2 linked regions of the Sus scrofa genome follow. The protein of the gene in region 1 purifies or fractionates together with the protein of each later gene. This does not show direct contact. Links are inferred from orthologs where the notes say so. Each region holds a gene or a part of one and is shown on either strand. Other genes may lie near its edges.

The links.
Region 2: the proteins of IKBKG (region 1) and ATM purify together in Homo sapiens (affinity purification with western blotting; 7 studies listed by BioGRID and IntAct, with this or other methods). This does not show direct contact. The link is inferred for Sus scrofa from reciprocal best matches to the Homo sapiens genes IKBKG and ATM.

Annotation. Positions count from the first base shown.
Region 1 is NC_010461.5:125,040,961-125,052,021, forward strand, and holds the start of IKBKG (NF-kappa-B essential modulator), read left to right. Parts: upstream 1-3,919; coding exon 3,920-4,106; intron 4,107-6,556; coding exon 6,557-6,768; intron 6,769-7,518; coding exon 7,519-7,637; intron 7,638-9,537; coding exon 9,538-9,690; intron 9,691-10,808; coding exon 10,809-10,905; intron 10,906-11,061. UniProt on the Homo sapiens protein: Regulatory subunit of the IKK core complex which phosphorylates inhibitors of NF-kappa-B thus leading to the dissociation of the inhibitor/NF-kappa-B complex and ultimately the degradation of the inhibitor.
Region 2 is NC_010451.4:36,717,418-36,727,928, forward strand, and holds part of ATM (serine-protein kinase ATM), read left to right. Parts: intron 1-7,231; coding exon 7,232-7,449; intron 7,450-7,948; coding exon 7,949-8,156; intron 8,157-9,242; coding exon 9,243-9,356; intron 9,357-9,712; coding exon 9,713-9,871; intron 9,872-10,328; coding exon 10,329-10,467; intron 10,468-10,511.

The DNA of each region.
Region 1 (11,061 bases):
GGGGAAATGCGGGTCGCGACGCATATTATTGAAGAGTGTCCTACGGGCCAGCCGAGCCTGGTACGCTCGGGCTTCCGTCTGGGGACAAGTCTCCCTCGCGCCTCTCGCGGGCCTGCTGGGGGCGGGGTGGGGGCGGAGTGTGAGTGTTTTACTTCCGGATCCCACAGCTACGACACCGGAAGCAGGAAATGGGAATTTGGCAGCCCGAGAAGGGAAGGGCGACCGCGGAACCCGAACTTTCTCCGAGCGCCGGGGTCCGAGGAGCGCTCGGGACCCGCCGCTCCCGCCCTTCTCACGTCGGACCGACTCTGCTGACAGGTGTGGTCCTCTTCTCCGAAGATAGGGTACTATTGGTGGGCGTTCCGCCACCTCCGAGACCCCCCCTGGACGACCAGGCTTTCCCCTCCTATTGGGCCCCGGCCCGGTTCTGCCGCCCGCTTCTAGATCACCCGCCGAGGCTGGCCAATTCAGGACCCAGGTTACTCTGGCGACGAGCGGGGCAGTTTTCGCCTCTCCTTCCTCTGCCGCGGCGGAGTCTGACCACACCCCTAGTTCGTGGATGACTATTCTACTTCGGAGACATTTTCTGTTCATCGAACTTGACTACATTTGAAGTTGTTAAGTTCTTTAAAAAAGCCTCAAGGGTAATTTGACAGCTAAGCATCTTTCCTCATGCGCTTCATTTTGCTCACTTTGCACAACGGTTAATGTCTGCCGGACCTCATATCAGTTCTGTGACTTGAGGATGAATGGGCCATAAGGAGGCCACTATACCTGGAATAGAGTGAGCGAGGGGGGAATAGTTAGAGAGGAAGCAATGGGGGACCAGATAGTGCACGGCCTACTATCTTGTTGTACGGGTTGTGGCTTTTTGGCGGAGGGCCATGAGGAACTATGGTAGGGATCTGGATAGAGGAGAGACGTGGTAGGAATTACCTTTTGGTCTGATTGTTCTGGCGCGGTGGGTAGAACAGACTGTACGTAGGGGGCAAGGGTTGGAGCAAGGTGATCTGCTAGGAGGTTATTGCAGTTATCCAGGTGAGAGATGATGGGGCTCGGATCGTTTTATTGTGAAAAATACCAAAGATGTGCAAAAGTAGAAAGGATAGTATAAACCCAAGGTACCCACCTCCCAGCGTCAACAGTTATCAACCTGTTGCTACCTTTGCTTAATTTATACCCCTCATAATCTCTTATTTTCAAAAATAGCTTTATTGACATATAATTCACATACCACACAATTCACCCATTGAAAGTGAACAATTCACTGCTTTTCAGTATATTCACACACCTGCACAACCATCACCATTCATTCTCGAACATTTTCATCAACCCATCACCTTATCTACTTCAGTTCTAAGCATCTATTAGTCTTTCCATCTCTCTATGTTTGCCTATTCTGGATAGTTCACATAAATGGACTCATAATATGTGGTTTCTTGTGAGCTGTTTCTCTGTGTTGCTCAGTGTTTTTTTTTTTTTTTTTTTTTTTTTTTTTTTTTTTGTCTTTTTGCCATTTCTTGGACCGCTCCCGGGCATATGGAGGTTCCCAGGCTAGGGGTCCAATCAGAGCTGTAGCCGCCGGCCTACACCAGAGCCACAGCAATGTGGGATCTGAGCCGTGTCTGCAACCTACACCACAGCTCAGGGCAACGCCGGATCGTTAACCCACTGAGCAAGGGCAGGGATCGAACCCGCAACCTCATGGTTCCTAGTCGGATTCGTTAACCACTGCGCCACTCCTGCTCAATATTATTAACATGGTAGGGTAGGAATGTACTAGATTGTGTTTATTCATCAGTCGATGGACATGTAGGTCATTTCCACCCTTTGGCCGCTAAGAGCAGTCTCACGTGGACCTGTGTTTTCATTTTTCTCAGGTACATACCGAGCAGGTCCCCCATTACCTTGAACCAAATTCCAGGCACCTTATAATTTCGCTGTAAATGTTTCAGGATGCATCTCTAAGAATGGACTTTGAAAGAAACAACCACAGTACCAAGTATCACACCTAAAATAAGTTAACATTAATTGCTTAGTGTCCTCAAATAGATTCTAAGATACCTTTTGACGGGATTTCCCAATGGATTAGACGTGAGCCCTGAGGGCCAGAGAGGACTCAAGAAGGACTCCCAGGTTGTGTCCTGCTGACCGGAGGGTGGACGTGCTGTCACCTAATAATAAGGGAGGCTGTGGGTGGAGCCGGCTTCTGGGGACTGTGAGCAGTGCAGTTCTGGAGAGGTGAGTTTTGAGAGGAGGATTAGATGTCCAGCCTGAGATGCTGAGTTTGATGCATGGGGGTTAAAGCTGGGAGTCTGGATGGAATTAGCGCTGGAGTAGCTGTAGTTAGAGAAAAGATGAGATCCCAGAAAGGAGCCCCGGAGCATCACAGCATGAAAAGTGTGGCGAGGATGGTCCACGGAAAGAGCCAGAGCAGGAGCAGCCAGTGAAGTGGTGGCTGTTCTGGACTCAGGGCTCAGCGGTTGGTCAGATAGTGCTGGTGGGTCAGGGGGTTATTCAGAGAAGTATCAGTGTAACAGCGAAACGTCCCAGCTTGTTTGGTGTTAAACGTCTCTAGCTGCAGCTCAGGCTCTCTCCTGGAAGCTTCTTTTGGGATCGGCTTCCTCCTCCATGTAGTCGGTTTTCTTGGGCAGGATTTAAAAGGGCTCCGGGCGGGTGCTGTCCCGCAGAGCGCCCCCCTGCCCCCGCCTCTAGTTCACAGGACGATGCACACAGCTCAGCCTGACTCTCGGCCCTGCCACCTTAGGCTGCAAGCCCAGCTCCCGCTTTCGGGTGCTCAGCTCCAGGGAATGCCCACCAGGTTCTGAGTGGTCTCTGTGAAGCCCTTCTCACTAGGTACATTGATTTCCTAGGCTGCCGTGAGAGAGTCCAAGGCAGATGGCTTAAGACAACAGCATTTGTCCTCTCTCCGTTCTGGAAACCAGGAGCCTGAAGTCAGGGCGTGGCAGGGCCCTGTTCCCTCTGGGGGCGCCAGGGGAGGGTCCTTCCTGCCTCTTCCAGCCTGTGGTGGCTCCAGGCATCTCTGGGCTGGGGCCGCATCACTCCAGTCTCTGCATCTTCACGTGGCTTCTTCTGTGTCTGTCTCTCCTTTTGTGTCTCTTAGAAGGACACTCATCATTGGATTTAGGGCTCCCCTGATCCAGGAGGACCTCATTTCAGATCCTTCACTTGTATTACATCCTTTTCCTTCTTTCCTTTTCCCTTTCCCTTTTTTTTTTTTTTTTTTTTTTTTTTTTTTTGCTTTTTAGGGCTACACTTGAGGTATATGGAAGTTCCCAGGCTAGGGGTCTCATTGGAGCTGCAGCTGCCAGCCCACATGAGTGAGAGCCACAGTGACACGGGATCTGAGCTGCGTCTGTGACCTATACCACAGCTCACGGCAATACTGATCCTTAACCCGCTGTGTGAGGCCAGGGATCGAACCTGCATCCTTATGGATACTAGTTGGGTTCTTAACCAGCTGAGCCACAATGGGAACTCCAACAAATCCCCTTTCCCAATCAGTCCCGGTTCCGGGGCCCAGGGAGTGGACCCATCTTACTGCTTGGAGGTGTGGGGAGGGTGGGCATTCCAGCACAGCGACCCCTGCCTCCCAACCTCATCTCCGTCGATTCTCCTCTGTGGTGAAATCGGCAGCTTCAGCGTCCAGCCGGGAGCTAGCCTGAGGCGCCGTTTACGGCCGGTGCTGAACCGTGACCTTTGCGAGCCCCACATGAGGGGAATGTGAGCCACTCGTAGACCAAAGAGCCCTTTTTAGCGCCTTTTCCACTTGGCAAAGTGCTTGTCCTTCTGCCGAGCGTGGCCCTGGCACTCCCTGTCCTGCAGGGTAGGAGAGTTCTGCCTGGGTCTCCTCACGCGATGCCTCTGCTGGCATCTCTTTCAGACGCTGACTTGTTGGATGAGCAGGACCCCCTGGAAGAGTCAGCCGTGTGAGATGGTGCAGCCTAGCGGCGGCCCGGCAGGGGACCAGGACGTGCTGGGTGAAGAGTCCTCTCTGGGGAAGCCAACCATGCTCCACCTGCCTTCGGAGCAGGGTGCTCCTGAGACCTTCCAGCGCTGCCTGGAGGAGAATCAAGAGCTCCGAGGTGAGGGCGGCAGCGGGCCTGTGCCCCGAGATCCCGGGCCGGCGCCTCCCACCTGCCGCACCTCTGCCTTCCTGGGACTGGGGCGGCGTGCACCCGGGCGGGTTAGTGATTTGGTCCCAGCCGCCGCCCCCGCCCTGGTCCAGGTGGGGTTTCCGGGAAGTGGACGCCGAGATCCAGGGAGGCACGCAGGAGGTTTATTCAGAGTCCTCTGGGACCAGCCCTGCAGATGGGGAGGGGAGGGCAGGGCAGCGAAGAAGCAGGGGTGGGTGCAGGGAGAGGCCCACCCTGCAAGGGGCTTGAGCTGGAATATGGCCCTTCTGCGTTGTCCCGGTTGGGCCGACGCCGCCAGGCCCTGGTGTCTCCGTACTCATGTACTGACCAGTCAGTCAGAACCAGCCTTACTGGGAGGGGCGCGGGTCTCCTGGGAAGGGGGCGGGATCTGCTCCAGGAAGGGGGTGTGGTCTGCGCTGGGAACGGGCGTGGCCTCCCTGGGAAGGGCCGGGGGGCGGCTTTGGGAAGGAGGGGCCAGGCGGCGCCGGGGACCTGACGGAGGGCTGTGCTCCAGCAGCACTTGCCGGGGGCGGGGGGTCGAGGGCTTTTCGGCACCCCCCACCCCCCCGCCTCCGTCCCAGCCCCACTCACCCAGCCTCCGCGTCCTCCCCTGTATCGGGGTCACCTTCTCGGGTCCCAGGGGCCATGGCTCCGTGCCCCTCAGGTGTGACCCGTTCTTGGCCCCCTCGTGTGGGACAGCGCCCCCTCCTCCTCGGGTTTGTGCCCTGGGCCTCCGCTGCTGGCAAGCTGCCCCTTTGGTGCAGTAGCCTGGGGCATCCGGGGGGGGCACCCCTAGCCTCTCATTCAGTGACACTCTTGTGGGTGGGAGGTTTCTTTTGGGGGTGATGGGAATGCACTGGAACTAGAGGGAGGGGCGGGTGCACAACTATATGAATACATTAAAGCCACTGAATGACTGTGTATTTTTTTTGTCTTTTTTTAGGGCCTCATTGGGGGCATATGGAGGTTCCCAGGCTAGGGGTCAAATTGGAGCTGCAGCTGCCAGCCTACGTCACAGCCACAGCAATGCGGGATCTGAGCCTCATCTGTGACCTACACCACAGCTCATGGGCAACGCCGGATCCTTAACCCACTGACCAATGCCAGGGATCAAACCTGCGTCCTCATGGATGCTAGTCAGATTCTTTTCCGCTGAGCCACAACGGAAACTCCTGATTGTGTATTTTAAAATAGTTAAAATGGTGAATTTGCTGTTACGTGAATTTTACCTCAATTAAAAACAAAAGTTGTGGGTTTTCTTGTGGTGCAGCAGGTTAAGGATCCAGTGTTGCCACTGCAGTGGCTCAGGTCGCTGCTGTGGTGCAGGTTTGCTTCCTGGCCCAGGGACTTCACATGCCGTGAGTGCGGCCCAAAAAAAGATCTTTAAAAAAACCCCCAAAACAGAGGTTTTGTGGGAGCTGAGGTGAACCTCGGACGGAGGCTTGGCAGGTGGCCGTTGGGGGGGACCATCTGCCTTCGGCAAGAGGCCTTGTCCAAGGCTTGTTGGTCAGCTGCACAGGAGGAGTCATGTGGGGACCGTGGAGTCCAGAAGGTGGCTTTGGAGTGGGGCTCAGAATTTGCCGTAGGAGTTCCCTGGTGGCTCGGTGGGTTAAGGATCTGGTGTTGTCACTGCTGTGGCTCTGGTCGCTGCTGTGGCACGGGTTCAACCCCTGGCCTGGGAACTTCCACATGCTGCAAGTGCAGCCAAGAAAAGGAGGGGAGAGAAAATAACTTGCTGAAGTTCTAGTGAAAGAATGTTCCAGTAGCAGGCACCAGTTAGCTGGTCACGTGTTTTGACCAGAGGGTGACATGAAGCCACTGCCTGCCCCGTGTCATCTGGCTCTGTGCTTGCTAGAACCTCTGCGTGCCGCTGATGAGTTTTGTCGCTCACGATGGCCTTCTGCCGCCTGGGGTGTCCGCTGGGTGTGTGGGGAGAGGACGACCGACTGGTCCCCGAGTTGGTCTTGTGTGCCGGCTCTTGGCTGCTTGTTTGTGTGACCTTCCTTGTCCCGTGAGATGGGTGTCATCGTCCCCGTTGGGACATGTCGATGAGGATGGTGGGGCTTCGGTGACCGGCCGGCTGGCTCCAAGGCTTCCGGCCCCCAGTCTGCGGCAGCAGGGCCACAGGGACGTTTGCCCTGTGTGGCCGGCCCCCTGATCCTGGAGGCAGTGACCGGGTGCCCTAGGGTAGGCCTGCCTCCCACCCGAGCAGAACATAGACGAGTTCCAGCGTCACTTACAAAAAAGGTGGCATCGGACCCAGAGCTCTCAGTGCACCTGATGTGTTTAATGTTTGATTGGAAAAGCATGGGCACGTGATGGGCACCACTGCTTTTGAAAGTGCGCTGCCTGGGAGAGGCCGGCGCCCTCACCTCCCTCTGCGTCTCCTCTGCCGCCAGATGCCATCCGGCAGAGCAACCAGATGCTGCGGGAGCGCTGTGAGGAGCTGCAGCGTTTCCAGGGCAGCCAGCGGGAGGAGAAGGAGTTTCTCATGCAGAAGTTCTGCGAGGCCAGGCGCCTGGTCGAGAGGCTGAGCCTCGAGAAGCTGGAGCTGCGCAGGCAGAGGGAGCAGGCCCTGCAGGAGGTGGAGCTCCTGAAGACCTGCCAGCAGGTAGCGGGGCGCCGGCCGCCTGCCCTCTCCCCCGGGGGTCCCCAGGAGCACCCTCGGGCGGCCGCACAGAGTCGAGAGAAGCCGTTATCCTCGGGGCTCTGACCAGGGCGGGCGGGGGTGGTGGCAGTGGGCGCCTTAGCCAGCAGGGCCTGCGGACGGGCGTCAGGGCGATCGGCAGGCCGTTGGCTGGCTCAGTGGGGGTTCAGGGTTTGGAAGCCGTTGGCCTGTCCAGGGCAGTGGAAACCTTGAGACCGACCCGATCATCCTCAGGTGCACGCAGATGGGCGTGAAAAGGAGGGGGATGAGTGGCGGGCGGGGTGGGTGGCGCTGCGTGTAGGGGTGGGGGCCTGAGGCTTGACCCTGGGCCTGAGCAGCCTGAGGTCTCGGGCCCAGGGTTTGCACAGCCTTGGGAGGGCGTCTGGGCGGTGGGGAGTTGGAGAACTCTTGAGTTTTGGGGCAGGTGCAGGACTTGTGGGAACAGCGTCACTCCCTCTTACCTGCTAGTGGCCTGGGGCCCGGGGAGCGCGCAGGTTTCTGTCACATGTTTGAGTCTCAGCAAGGTGGGGAGACTCCTGCTGGGCTCAGCCCGCATGGGCAGCTCTGTGCTCCTCTGGCCCCATCCTCAGTGGCCTTGCTGGGGGAGAAGCTTCGAGAGATGAGAGGGAGATGAGTCGGGGTGCCGGGGGCAGGAGAGGAGCCCCGGGGGTGGCCGGTCTCAGTGCTGACGTGGCGTGGCTTCTTCTCGTGCAGCAGATGGCAGAGGACAAGGCCTCAGTGAAAGCCCAGGTGACGTCCTTGCTGGGGGAGCTGCAGGAGAGCCAGAGTCGCTTGGAGGCCGCCACCAAGGAGCGGCAGGCTCTGGAGAGCAGGTGAGCGTGGAGGGAGAGCCCTGCCCGAGGCCGCTGACTTTTTGCCAGAGTTTTGGATGATTCCCGAGGGGCCGTTTGCGGGGTGGGGGGGACGAGTCCACGTGATCACAGTGCCCTCCCGGCCCAGGACCCCCGAGGACGGAAGGCCCAGGGCGGGGGCGGAGCACCCCCTGCCTCTGGCCCCCTCCTCCTTTCCTCCCTTCTCTGGCGGCGACTTGGGCCTCCCTGGAGGCCTGGGGCGCCACTGGAGACTCAGCGCCCTGAGTTTGATGGAGGGCTGGTCATGGCCCAGCACACGCCAAGCCTCCTGACTCCTGGAGGAAAGCAGGTGCTCCCCATAGGCCACCGTGTTGTGCCCACGGTCTAGGCATGGGGACCTCCCTCATCTGGAGGGCGAGTGTCCTGGCAGCGTAGGGGACTCACACCAGCCCTGCTGGCCCCTCTCTTCTGCAGAGGCTGCTTCCTGTAGCTGTGCTCACCGGGTCAAAGGGCACGGGCGTCTCTGTGGTTCTCACGCTGCCCGGTGGCTGCCGTCCAGGGAGACGGGTCCAGGCGGCAGGGCTGGCCGCAGCTCTCCCGGTGCGCTGGGCGCTGCGCCCGGAGGCCCGAGGCGTTTCCCAGCGCGGCGTTTAGACGCCCCGCCATCCTCAGAGCGAGCGGGGAGCCTCCCTCTAGAAAGCAGGCGGCGAGGGCGTGTGTGTGGCAGGGCCGAGCCCGCTGGCCTGGTCGCCTTCCCGGTTCCCCGCCGGGCTCGTCTCTACCCCCACTTCTCTAAGAGGCACGTGTGTCATTTCTAGGACACTGCCACGTGTTTCTTGCCTTTTTTCTGTGCACATAAAAGAGACTGCTGGAGGCGTGACGCTGTCTGCAGTTTTGTGGCTGACTCTGCTCAGTTAATGACCCCGCAGTTGCAGGCTCTGGGCATCTTCCTCTCTTGTCCCCCCACGTGGCTGAGATGGAAATGCTGGCTGGCAGCTCAGGGCAGGGAGCCTGCTTGCGTCTCCCATCGCTCGGTGTGGCCATTTAAACAGATCCAGACTTCGTACATGTGGCGGCCCTTTGAGCGCCAGGCCTGTCACATCAGAACGGCTGTCCTCCTTGTTCTCGGGCCCCTGGCAGACAGCACTTCCGTCTGGCGATGACAATGCCGGCAGCTAAGTTTTGTCGGGTCACAGATGGACATCTGAGTTGGATATAGCTGGCCAGGTGTGGAGATGAGACCAGAGGAGAGGGCCAGGAGCCGCCCCCCACTCAGAACAGCCACTGTCGCCCCCGGGACACAGGATGACGTGGCTGCAGCCTGGAGCTGGGGATGGAGGGAGCTGTGAGCAGACATGAGTGTGGAGATGCGAGGCGGGGCCGTGGGGTGACGGGCCCCCATCAGAGGGTCAGGCCCCTTGGGGGACCCGGGTGAGGAGAGCCGAGCTGTCACAGCTTGAGTGTGGATGGATCCAGGATCTTCTCCCGGGCAGGCAGGTGGGAGGATCTCGCAGATGTAGACGTTTGGGACTCCAGATGGGCCAGCCAGCCACCTCCTTGCCACTGTTAGAGCGGTGGTGGCGGGCGGGGTGGGGGAGCCGTGGAGCCACTGACCCCACTTTCCACCCCCCACCCCCGCCTCACCTCACTTCTCACCTGCGCCCGCCCCACCTTCTAGAAAGGCTGTCTTTGCTGACTGGCTCTACTTCCTTTCCTCCACTGAGATTGCTCTGGCCATGGCCCCCAGCACCCACCTCTCGGAACCCCACGGGCAGGTCCCTGGGGCTTCTTTCCCCTGGGACCCCCTCCTTCACCCCTGGCCCCAGTGCCTTCTGCTGCAGTCTTTCTTGGTGCTGCAGGGTTCCTCGAGCACTTTTGCTCCTGCTGGGGCCCTCCGGTGACCTCCCCTTCCTGCCACCAGGGTTCGCGCCACTAGCGAGCAGGTCCGGCAGCTGGAGAACGAGCGGGAGGCCCTGCAGCAGCAGCACAGCGTGCAGGTGGACCAGCTGCGCCTGCAGAGCCAGAGCATGGAGGCCGCCCTGCGCATGGAGCGCCAGGCCGCCTCGGAGGAGAAGTGAGTGCCGGCTGCGGCGGCCTTTGCCTGCCCGCGTTCAGATCTACCCTCTGGCCCACGTGTTCAAAGCCTCGGGGCCGGGGTCCTGTGTGCCACTTGCATGCCCTTTGAGTCTTCTTTAGTCTAGACCGTCCTTATGCTTTTCCCGATTTTTAATGGAGTTGACTTTTAAAATATATTTTTTATGTTTTTTTTTTGGTCATGTCTATGGCATGCGGAAGTTCCCGGGCTAGGGATCGAACCCAAGCCACAGCAGTGACCTGAGCTGTGACAGTGCCAGTGCCAGATTGTCTTAACCCACTAGGCCATCATGGACGTCTAAAGCTGACTTTTTTTTTTTTTTTTTTTTGTCTTTTTGCCATTTCTTGGACCGCTTCCGCAGCATATGGAGGTTCCCAGGCTAGGGGTCGAATCGGAGCTGTAGCTGCCGGCCTGCACCACAGCCACAGCAACGCGGGATCCGAGCTGCATCTCGACCCACACCACAGCTCACGGCAGTGCCGGATCCTTTAACCCATTGAACAAGGCCAGGGATCGAACCCGCAGCCTCGTGGTTCCTAGTTGGATTCGTTAACCACTGAGCCACGACAGGAACTCCAGGAACTCCTATTTTTAATTTTTATTAAAAAATGTTTCTGGTGGCTCAGTGGGTTAAGGATCCAGTGTTATCACTGCTGTGGCTCAGGTTGCTGCTGTGGTGCAGGTTTGATCCCTGGCCCAGGAACTTCCACATGCCACAGGTATGGCCAAAAAAAAAAAAAAAAAAAAGTTTCTTTTGGCCGTGTCGTGGCAAGGGGCAGTTCCCAGGCCAGGGATTGATGCCAGTGCCGCATCCTTAACGCAGTAGGGCCACCAGGGAACTCCGAGGACAGCTGTATCTTATTATAAGTGTTTCTTCTGATGCTTTAAAAAATGCTACATTGAAGAAAAGTGATGTCAACGAGTTGGCAAAGCTTGCCTCGCGGCTGACTGACGGCCTCTGAGGCGCAGAGCCCTCCCTGGAAGGCACATTGTGTAGTGCGGAGACGGTGAGAAGGCAGAGGCTGCAGGTGGAAGCAGTGAAAGCCATGGCTGGGGCAGGACCGGGTGGTTCTCCAGCCAAAGCTCCTTTGCCTCAGGCGGAAGCTGGCCCAGCTGCAGGTGGCCTACCACCAGCTTTTCCAGGAGTATGACAACCACATCAAGAGCAGCGTGGTGAGCAGCGAGCGCAACCGAGTGAGTGTTTGGGGGCGGGTGTCCCCCAGGCTGCCTGGGGCTGACCTAGCCCTGCTGCTCTCCCTGCAGCCTGGGACCAGGGGAGCTCCCCCTTCGGGCAAATCCCAGGCCCCACCTTCCCAGACCCGGGAGCAGCCCAGGGGGTTGGTGACGCTG
Region 2 (10,511 bases), on another chromosome or scaffold:
TCCTGCCTCCCTTGTCAAAGATTAATTGACCATAGGTGTCAGGGTTTATTTCCGGATTCTCTATTCTGTTCCATTGGTCTGTCTGTCTGTTTTGGTACCAGTACCACACTGTTTTAATGACTGTGCCTTTGTAGTATTTCTTGAAGTCTGGAAGAGTTATGCCTCCTGCTTGGTTTTTGTTTCTCAGGATTGCTTTGGTGATTCTGGGTCTTTTGTGGTTCCATATAAATGTTTGGATTGTTTGTTCTAGTTCTGTGAACAATGTCATGGGTAATTTGATAGGGATTGCATTGAATCTGTAGATTGCTTTGGGTAGGATGGCCATTTTCACAATATTGATTTTTCCAATCCAGGAACATGGAATATCTTTCCATTTCTTTACATCTTCTTTGATTTCTTTGATTAAAGTTTTATAGTTCTCGGCATATAGGTCCTTTACCTCTTTGGTCAGGTGTATTCCGAGGTATTTGATTTTGTGAGGTACAATTTTAAAAGGTATCATTTTTTTGTATTCCTTTTCTAATGTTTCATTGCTGGTATACAGAAATGCAACTGACTTCTGAATGTTAATCTTATATCCTGCCACTTTGCTGAATTTATTGATCAGTTCAAGGAGTTTTGGGGTTGAGTCCTTAGGGTTTTCTAGGTATAGTATCATGTCATCTGCATACAGTGACAGTTTTATCTCTTCTCTTCCTATATGGATGCCTTTTATTTCTTTTGTTTGTCTAATTGCTGTGGCTAAGACTTCCAAAACTATGTTGAAGAGCAGTGGTGAGAGTGGGCATCCCTGTCTTGTTCCAGATTTGAGTGAGAAGGCTTTCAGTTTTTCCCCATTGAGGATTATATTTGCTGTGGGTTTATCATAAATGGCTTTGATTATATTCAGGAATGTTCCCTCTATACCCACTTTGGCGAGGGTCTTGATCATGAATGCATGTTGAACTTTGTCAAATGCTTTTTCTGCGTCTATTGAGATGATCATATGATTTTTGACCTTTTTTTTGTCAATGTGGTGTATGATGCTGATTGATTTGCGTATGTTGAACCATCCTTGTGAACCTGGGATGAACCCAACCTGGTCATGGTGTATAATTTTTTTGATATGTTGTTGGATTCGGTTGGCTAAGATTTTGTTGAGAATTTTTGCATCTATATTCATCAATGATATTGGGCGATAGTTTTCTTTTTTGGTGGTATCTCTGTCTGGTTTTGGAATGAGGGTGATGGTGGCCTCATAGAATGTCTTTGGGAGTATTCCTTCTTCTTCAACCTTTTGAAAGAGTTTAAGGAGGATGGGCACCAATTCCTCTTTATATGTTTGATAAAATTCACCTGTGAAGCCATCTGGTCCTGGACTTTTATTTGTAGGGAGTGATTTTATGACCTCTTCAATTTCATTTCTAGTGATCGGTCTGTTCAGTTGGTCTGTTTCTGCTTGATTCAGTTTTGGCAAGCTGTAAGATTCTAGAAAATTGTCCATTTCTTCCAGATTGTCAAACTTGTTGCCATACAGTTGTTCATAGTATTCTCTTATGGTTTTTTGTATTTCTGCTGTATCCGTTGTGATTTCTCCTTTTTCATTTATAATTTTGGTTATTTGGGTTCTTTCTCTCCTCTTTTTAGTGAGTCTGGCCAGGGGTTTGTCAATTTTGTTCACCTTTTCAAAGAACCAGCTCTTGGTTTTATTAATTTTCTCTATTGTTTTTTGAGTCTCTATTTTATTGATTTCTTCTTTGATCTTTATAATTTCCTTCCTTCTGCTGACTTTAGGACTTTTTTGTTCTTCTTTTTCTAATTCGTTTAGGTGGAGGGTTAAGTTGTCAATTTGGGATCTTTCTTCTTTTTTGAGAAAGGCCTGGATTGCTATAAATTTCCCTCTGAGCACTGCTTTCGCAGCATCCCATAGATTTTGAGAGGTTGTGTCTTCATTATCATTTGTTTCAAGGTAGTTTTTAATTTCCTTCTTGATTTTCTCATTGACCCATTGGTTTTTTAATAGCATGTTGTTTAGTCTCCATGGAGTAGGTTTTTTCTCTTTGCTTTTCCCATGGTTGATTTCTAATTTCATGGCATTGTGGTCAGAGAAGACACTTGAGATAATTTCTACGCTCCTAAATTTATTGAGATTCGCTTTGTGTCCCAATATGTGGTCGATTCTTGAGAATGTTCCATGAGCATTTGAGAAGAATGTGTATTCTGCTTTTTTTGGATGTAGTGTCCTGAAGATATCAATTAGGTCTAACTTTTCTATTGTTTCCTTTAGGATCTCTGTTGCTTTATTGGTTTTCTGTCTAGAGGATCTGTCCATTGATGTGAGGGGGGTATTTAGGTCTCCTACTGTGATTGTATTCTCATCAATATCTCCCTTTATGTCTGTTAATATTTGTTGTGTGTATCTGGGTGCTCCTGTATTTGGGGCATATATGTTGACAATAGTAACATCCTCTCCTTGGATGGATCCCTTAATCATTAAATAGTGTCCTTCTTTGTCTTTCTTTATGCCTTTTGTTTTAAAGTCTATTTTGTCTGATATGAGCGTTGCGACTCCTGCTTTTCTGTCATGTCTATTGGCGTGAAATATTTTTCCCCACCCTTTCACTTTCAATCTATATGTATCTTTTGTCCTAAGGTGAGTTTCTTGTAGGCAGCATATTGAAGGTTTTTGCCTTTTTATCCACTCAGCCACTCTGTGTCTTTTGATTGGGGCATTCAGTCCATTGACATTTAAGGTGATAATTGATAGATGATTATTTATTGCCATTTGAACCTCGTGTTCCAGTTGATTCTATGGTTCTCCATTTTTTTTTTTTTTTTTTGGTTGGATGGTCTCCTGTTATTATCTGCTTGAGTGGTTTTTTTTTTCATTTTTTGCAAATGCAATATTTGGTTTTGGCTTGTGATTGCCCTGTTTTTTAAGTATGCTAACCCCTTCCCATAAATGTGTGTTTTAGCCTGATGGTCCTGTAAGTTCAAACACTTCATTACTATATTAAAATTAAGAAGAGAGACATACATATAAACAAAAAGGGTTATTTACCTCCTGACATCCCTTGCCCACATTTTATGGTTTTGATGACTCTTTTTTATTTTTTTCTTTTTAATTTTATTTTGTTTGAAGCATGTTCATGATTAAATCTGTATGCTGGCTTATTTGAGTGACTGCTCTCTGATTGCAGTTTCCTCAGTCCTAGTTCTTCCTCTTCTTCTTCTTCTTTTTTTTTTTTTTCTTTTCTTTTTCTTCCCTTTCCTTCCTTTCTTTTTGGTTTAGAGAAGCCCTTTCAATATTTCCTTTAACCTGGGTTTTGTGTTGCTGTATTCTTTAAGTTTTTGTTTGTTGGGAAAAATTTTTATTTCCCCTTCTATTTTAAATGATATTCTTGCTGGATAGAGTATTCTAGGTTGCATATTTTTTCCTTTGAGCACTTTAAATATCTCTTGCCATTCCCTCCTGGCCTGTAGTGTTTCTGTAGAGAAATCAGCTGATATTCTTATGGGGGTTCCCTTGTAGGTAACATTCTGTTTTTCTCTTGCTGCCTTGAGGATCCTCTCTTTATCACTAACTTTTGCCATTTTTATTATGATGTGTCTTGGTGTGGGTCTGTTTGGGTTCAGTTTGTTTGGGGCCCTCTGTGCTTCTTGTATCTTGAATCCAGTATCCTTTAGATTTGGGAAGTTTCCAGCAATAATTTCTTCAAATATATTTTCCATTCCCTTATCTTTTTCTACTCCTTCTGGAATTCCTATTATGCGTAGATTGGCCCGCTTTATATTATCCCATAGGTCTCTTATATTGCTTTCCAGTTTTTTGATTCGGTTTTCTGTCTGTTGACCAGATTGAGTGATTTCCATTATTCTATCTTCCATATCACTGATTCGTTCTTCTGCATTATTCATTCTGGTTTTTACTGCCCCTAGTTCAGTTTGCATCTCTGCAAATGAATGTTCTAGTTTTTCTTGGCTCCTCCTTATCTTTTCTAGTTCCTTTCTGAGGGTATCTGCATTACCGTTCATATCTTCTCTTAATTCCTTCAGTATTTTCAGTATTTCTCTTTTGAACTCCAGGTCTGTCAGACTGCCGAGATCTGTTTCATTGTTGACTGTTTTAGGTGAGTTCTCCTGTTGGTTTGACTGGGAGTGGTTTCTCAGCTTCTTCATCTTGCTTGTTGTTTTCTTTCTCCTGAGGGAGTTGTACTCTCCGTGATCGGGCAGTGTTTGCCTTGTCACTGCCGTGGAATATTTCCTGAGGGCTGGCGTTGTTGGTCAATCTTTTTTGAGGCAGTGTGGCTTTTCTGGAGTGTTGATGGGGCTAACAGTGTTTCTTTGAAGCAAAGGAGGACTTCCTGAGGGCAGACAGGACTGAGAGGTCCACACCGCGATGGTAGCAGATTTCACTTGGCCATGCAGAGCTTGCTCTGGTGTTTTTAGGCTGTGGGGTTCTTGCAGGGGGTTGGCGGTGTTGGGCAGCTGCTTTTTAGGGGTGCATTACCCCCTGGGGGCTGGAGCAGCTATCTGGGGCACTGAGAACCTGAGAGGCTCTTCCCTAGGGCAGCCCAACTCAGAAGGACAGCCTGAGAATGTAGGCGGATCTTTTTACAGTCTGGCTGAGCTTGTTGCAGCTTTTCTGGGCTGCAGGGGGTCCTGCCTGGAGCTGGCAGCCCTATGCAGCTGGTCCACTAGAGCATCCCCTGGGGGCTTGGGCGGGTAGCAGGGCCTTTGGAAACCGAAGAGGCTCCTCCCCGGGGCAACCCGACTCAGAAAAACCGTCCGAGAATTAGGCCGATCTATTCACAGCCTGGCTAAGCTTGTTCTAGCTTTTCTAGGCTGCAGGCCTTTTCTCGGGGGCTGGTGCTGTTTGGTGCTGCTCTGCGGAAGTGTAGCCCCTCCAAAGGGCAAGCAGGCCTGTGCAGGGACAGCCCCTGCGGTGGTAGGCTTCAGGCAATTGTTGAGGCCAGCCCTCCTGGATGGCAGGCAGTCCCAGGTCCGTGAGAGCGTAGGGCGTGGCGGGGGTGGGGGGAGGGGATGCACTGGGAAGCAGAGTTTTCAGCTAGCTAGCTGGCCTGTAAGCTTGCTGTGGCGTGGGGGGTATTCTATGGGGACCCACCCCTTCTTCCCTCCCCTCCCCAGCACGGGCGCAGACCAGGCTCTTCTCCCAGGTTCCCTCTGATGTGGCTTTCCCCTTCCCCACTCCTGGAGTATTGCTCCCTTCCTCTGCGACAGCTTTGTTTTCTAGTCTCCCAGGCAGTCTCTGCCCCGTCAACTGGTTTCTAGACCTCCCAAGCATTTTCCGCTCTGCCCCGCCCCCCTATCCCGGGGACTAATCTCTGGAGCCGAGGTCTCGGTGCCCAGCCCCCACCCAGGCGTCCCCCGGCTCCCTCTCGGGGACTAACCTTCGGGGGCGAGGTCTCGGTGCCCAGCCCCCCTCCCAGGCGTCCCCCGGCCCTTTCTCAGGGATTAACCTTTGGCGGCGAGGTCTCGGTGCCCAGCCCCCACCCAGGCGTCCCCCGGCCCCCTCTCGGGGACTAACCTTCAGAGGCGAGGTCTCAGTGCCCAGCCCCCACCCAGGCGTCTCAATTTTTGGTGACTCTGCCCGTAGTTCAGATGGTCCGTTGGGTTCTTGATCGGCTTTTCCGTACTCCAACTTACTGCTACACTCTTCTCTGCATCTGGAGATTCCTCCGGTTCGTTTGATCTTTCGCCCGGTAGGTGACTTTCCAGGGTGCGGGATCCCTTTCTCCTCCGCAGTTCCCTTTCGGGAGCCTTCCCTCGCTCGGATTCGCCTTCTCTCACTCTCCTCTTTTCTCCTGTTCTGCCCAATAATGTCACGAGTTTCTTGCCGTTATTGGAGTTTAGGTTCCTCTGCCAGCGATTGTTTGCTGTTCTGTGCGAGTCATTTATTCTGTAGATGTGCTTTTTTTGTTGTGTTTGTGGGAGAGGGCGAGCGTGTCTTCCTACTCCTCCGCCATCTTGTCCTCTCTCCCAGTCTTTTTGCTATTTCTTGGGCCGCTCCCGCGGCATATGGAGGTTCCCAGGCTAGGGGTCGAATCGGAGCTGTAGCCACCGGCCTCCACCACAGCCGCAGCAACGCAGGATCCGAGCCACGTCTGCAACCTACACCACAGCTCACGGCAACGCTGGATCGTTAACCCACTGAGCAAGGGCAGGGACCGAACCTGCAACTTCATGGTTCCTAGTCGGATTCATCAACCACTGCGCCACGACAGGAACTCCTAACAAGTTATATTTGATAATTTCTCCACGTATTTATCTGGAAAAATAGCTGACTAAGGAGTATTCAAGTCAGCCTTTATTATTCACTTTTAGCCCAACCCTCCAAGTAGGATGGACTCCAGTCTTCTCCCTACTTTTGACCTTCCTGTTTCTCTGTCTTTAACAAGTTTTAACAATAGCTAGTTTAACAAATTTTAAAAAGAGCTAATTCACCAAATAAATGAACATTAAAAGCATAATGTGTGGAGTTCCCATCTTGGCGCAGTGGAAACGAATCTGACTGGTATCCAAGAGGATGATCCCTGGCCTCGCTCAGTGGGTTAAGGATCCCGAGTTGCTGTGAACTGTGGTATAGGTTGCAGATGAGGCTTGAATCTGGCGTTGCTGTGTCTGTGGCGTAGGCCAGCAACTACAGCTCCAATTTGATGCCTAACCTGGGAACCCCCATATGCCATATGTGGAACCTTAAAAAAAAGACCAATAAGTCAATAAATAAAAGCATAACATTTTTAAAACAAACTTTGTAGAACTTTTTGTTTTTGCATAGTTCTTTACAAATATTAGCTGTTGTGGTTATTTTTGCACTGTCAAGGTTCTTTTTGAAAAGTCAAGAAAAGAATTCCCAATGTGCTCAGCTGGTTAAGAGTCCAGTGTTGTCTATATGAGGAGGCAGGTTTGATCCCTGGCCTTGCTCAGTGGATTAGGGATCCATTGTTGCTGCAAGCCATGGGGTAGGTCACAGATGCAGCTAAGATCTGGTGTGGCTGTGGCATAGGCCAGCAGCTGCAGCTCTGTTTTGACCCCTAGCCTGAGACCTTCCATATGCCAGAGGTGTGGCCATAAAAAGAAGGGGGAAAAAAGCTAAATTCATATAATTTAGGTTTTATATATATATATATATATGCTAAACTTTAGTATGGATATTTCTTTAATCTGAGTAATTCTTTAGATGCATTTAATATCTGTAAATGTAATATAAATTGCTTGTGTTTTTGTGAAGGCAGTGGAACTTGCTGGAAATTATGACGGAGAAAGCAATGATGAGCTCAGAAATGGAAAAATGAAGGCATTTCTCTCTTTAGCACGGTTCTCAGATACTCAGTACCAAAGAATTGAAAACTACATGAAATCATCAGAATTTGAAAACAAGCAGGCTCTTCTGAAAAGAGCCAAAGAGGAAGTGGGCCTTCTTAGGGAACATAAAATTCAAACCAACAGGTAATAAGGGATCTGCAAGTGACAAGATACACAGAAATACAGCAACTCTGTATACACGCAGAGATACAGAACCAGATAGGAATTCATGCTGTGGTTCTAAGCTGATTGTAGTATATTGATAATTAGCTTTTTGTTTTTCTCTTTTAGTTTTTTTCTATCTACATAGTTGAAAAAGAGGTAGGGTGAAATTAAATGGGGAAGAAGTACCTATTTTGATGTAATTTAATCCTTTATTTACACCTGCCTTTGGTCTATATATTTTAGTGCAGGTAGAGAATAAAGCTAATGAAGTACCGTGGGTAGAGTCTGCTTTGTCCTTGGTTGCTTAGGATACTTTTGAAGTGTACAGACTTAAAGACAAAAGTTTAAGATTTTTACCTCTATAATTCTTAGAATTTTGCTTTTTCTCCTGGCATGGACACTTGATTTTTCATTTTTGTTTTATATTTCATATAAAATCTGATGACTCTTGTGTTTTACTTTAATCATCCAATGTAAGATACACAATAAAGGTTCAGCGAGAGCTGGAGCTGGATGAAGGTGCTCTCCGTGCATTAAAAAAGGATCGTAAACGTTTCTTATGTAAAGCAGTTGAAAATTACATCAATTGCTTATTAAGTGGAGAAGGGCATGATATGTGGATATTCCGTCTTTGTTCCCTCTGGCTTGAAAATTCTGGAGTTTCTGAAGTCAATGGCATGATGAAGGCAAGTTTTCTTTTTCAACCCAATATTCTACTCTGTGCTTTAAAAGTTTAGACATAAGCCCCTCAATGTCATGTATTTTGTATAATTTGTATCCTTGACACATGGTTCAGAGCTCTACACAAGGTGTTTGATCAGCTCTTAATGATAAGGATTTATGGGGAGTTCCTGTTGTGGCTCTGTAGTTATGAACCCAATTAGTATCCATGAAGATGTGGGTTTAATCCCTGGGCTTGCTCAGTGGATTAAGGATCTGGCATGCCACAAGGTGAGGTGTAGATCGCAGATGTGGCTTGGATCTTGCGTTGCTGTGGCTGTGGTGTAGGCCAGCAGCTGCAGCTCCGATTGGACCCCTAGCCTGGGAACTTTCTTTTCCTCTGTCTTTGCAATTATCATAGGAAAGTACCCCAAATGGGAGATTGGAAAAGCAATTGAAAATGATGTGATTATTCTTTTCTGTTTTGTTTGTTTGTTTTTACAGTAAATTACTTAAAAAAGATTTTAAGAAAGCATTAAAGTAGCAGCATTTTGTAAATTTTTATTTAAAAATCTTAGATTTTATTGATGACACCTAATATTAAAGATATGTTGACAAGATATATATAGGCAATCAGTTTGAAACTTCAAAAGTAAAATGGTCTTCTGGCTGAGAAAAATGATAAGATTCATCATAGATACAACCAATCTAGTGTACATTAGATCTTATTACTTTTAGCATGTAGGAAAAAATAGTTATTCCGTCTTACTCATGCTGACCTCTCAGGAGTTCAGATCACAATCATCCTCAGATCCTCATTTGTCCCCCTTGGATTCACTGGAATATAAGCAGTGCCAAGTATTGCAGTTCTGAATACACTTTAATTTAGATTCAAATATTATGACTTAGTAATGAATCAATCTAGAATAACCACCAGAAAGACTTTAAAGTAAATGATGAGGAAAAAGGTGTGGTTAGTGAAGTTTTACTAACACCCTCTAGATGACTGCACCAGTAGAGGAGCTTTATCTTAGAGTAATTTATTTACTTAGATGTGATACTATTTGAAATGCATTGCTTTTTAATTTTGTATTTTTTTTTTTTAATGGCAGAGAGATGGAATGAAGATCCCATCATATAAGTTTTTGCCCCTCATGTACCAGTTGGCTGCTAGAATGGGGACCAAGATGATGGGAGGCCTAGGATTTCACGACGTCCTCAATAGTGTAAGTAAATGTGACCTTCTCGGCGCAATTGCTGTCCTTTTTTGTTATTATATGCTACTGCTCCACTTTAGGACGTGGCATCCAGGACGGTTTCGATCAGCCTATTTATTATGTTAAATAAGGGCGAGAATAAAGATTTCCTTGTGTCTCCTCATACTCCACATTAGTTAGTTTCTCCCTTTCTAATTCTTCATGTCCCTTTGTCTCTTGTCTGTCTTACACACACACATACCACTCACTGCAGCATCTAGGACAGTAACACCTATCTTAATGTTCAGCCAAATTTGAAAGTTTATGGATTTTCTTTTTTTGTTTGTTTGTTTCCATATAACTAACAGTTCTTAATTTTATTACAGCTCATCTCTAGAATTTCAGTGGATCACCCTCATCATACTTTGTTTATAATATTGGCCTTAGCAAATGCAAACAAAGATGAATTTTTGACCAAACCAGAGGCAGCAAGAAGTAGTAGAATAACTAAAAATACACCTAAAGAAAGCTCTCAGCTTGATGAGGTATTTAGATTGAACATGTATACCTTTTTGAATTGTGATATTTATTTTTTCCCAAAATATTCCTTTCTTAAGTCTCAGGGATTCTAAAAGTATGTTGTTGACAAACATTGAGTTTGCAAATCCTTTGTTATTAAAATGGCACCTAAAATTGGTTTAAAAATCTTGAGTATTTCTCAAAGCATAGGAGATATCAATAGTATTTTGCCCTTTTTCCTCACATCAGTGAGCTAAGAAAATACTGATTGTACAAGGCATCCAAGGCATTTACTCTTGAGGTTATTATAACTTTGATGTGCTGCATTCATAATAAGGTGACTGTTTTGTTTGTATCTGAGGGATTATAATCTTTCCATTGTCTAGATATGTGTATAAATTGTTTTTCCTTTTTTTATTATAACTCTGAAACGTTTGAGTTATATTTGCTTATGTACTATATTTTGTTTGTTTTTATTAATAGGATCGAACTGAGGCTGCAAACAAAGTAATATGTACTCTCAGAAACAGGAGACGTCAGATGGTCAGAAGTGTTGAAGCACTCTGTGATGCTTACATTATATTAGCAAACTTAGATGCCACTCAGTGGAGGACTCAGAGAAGTATGCGATTTGAAAGAAGGAGCATTGCTTTCTTGCGGTGTTAT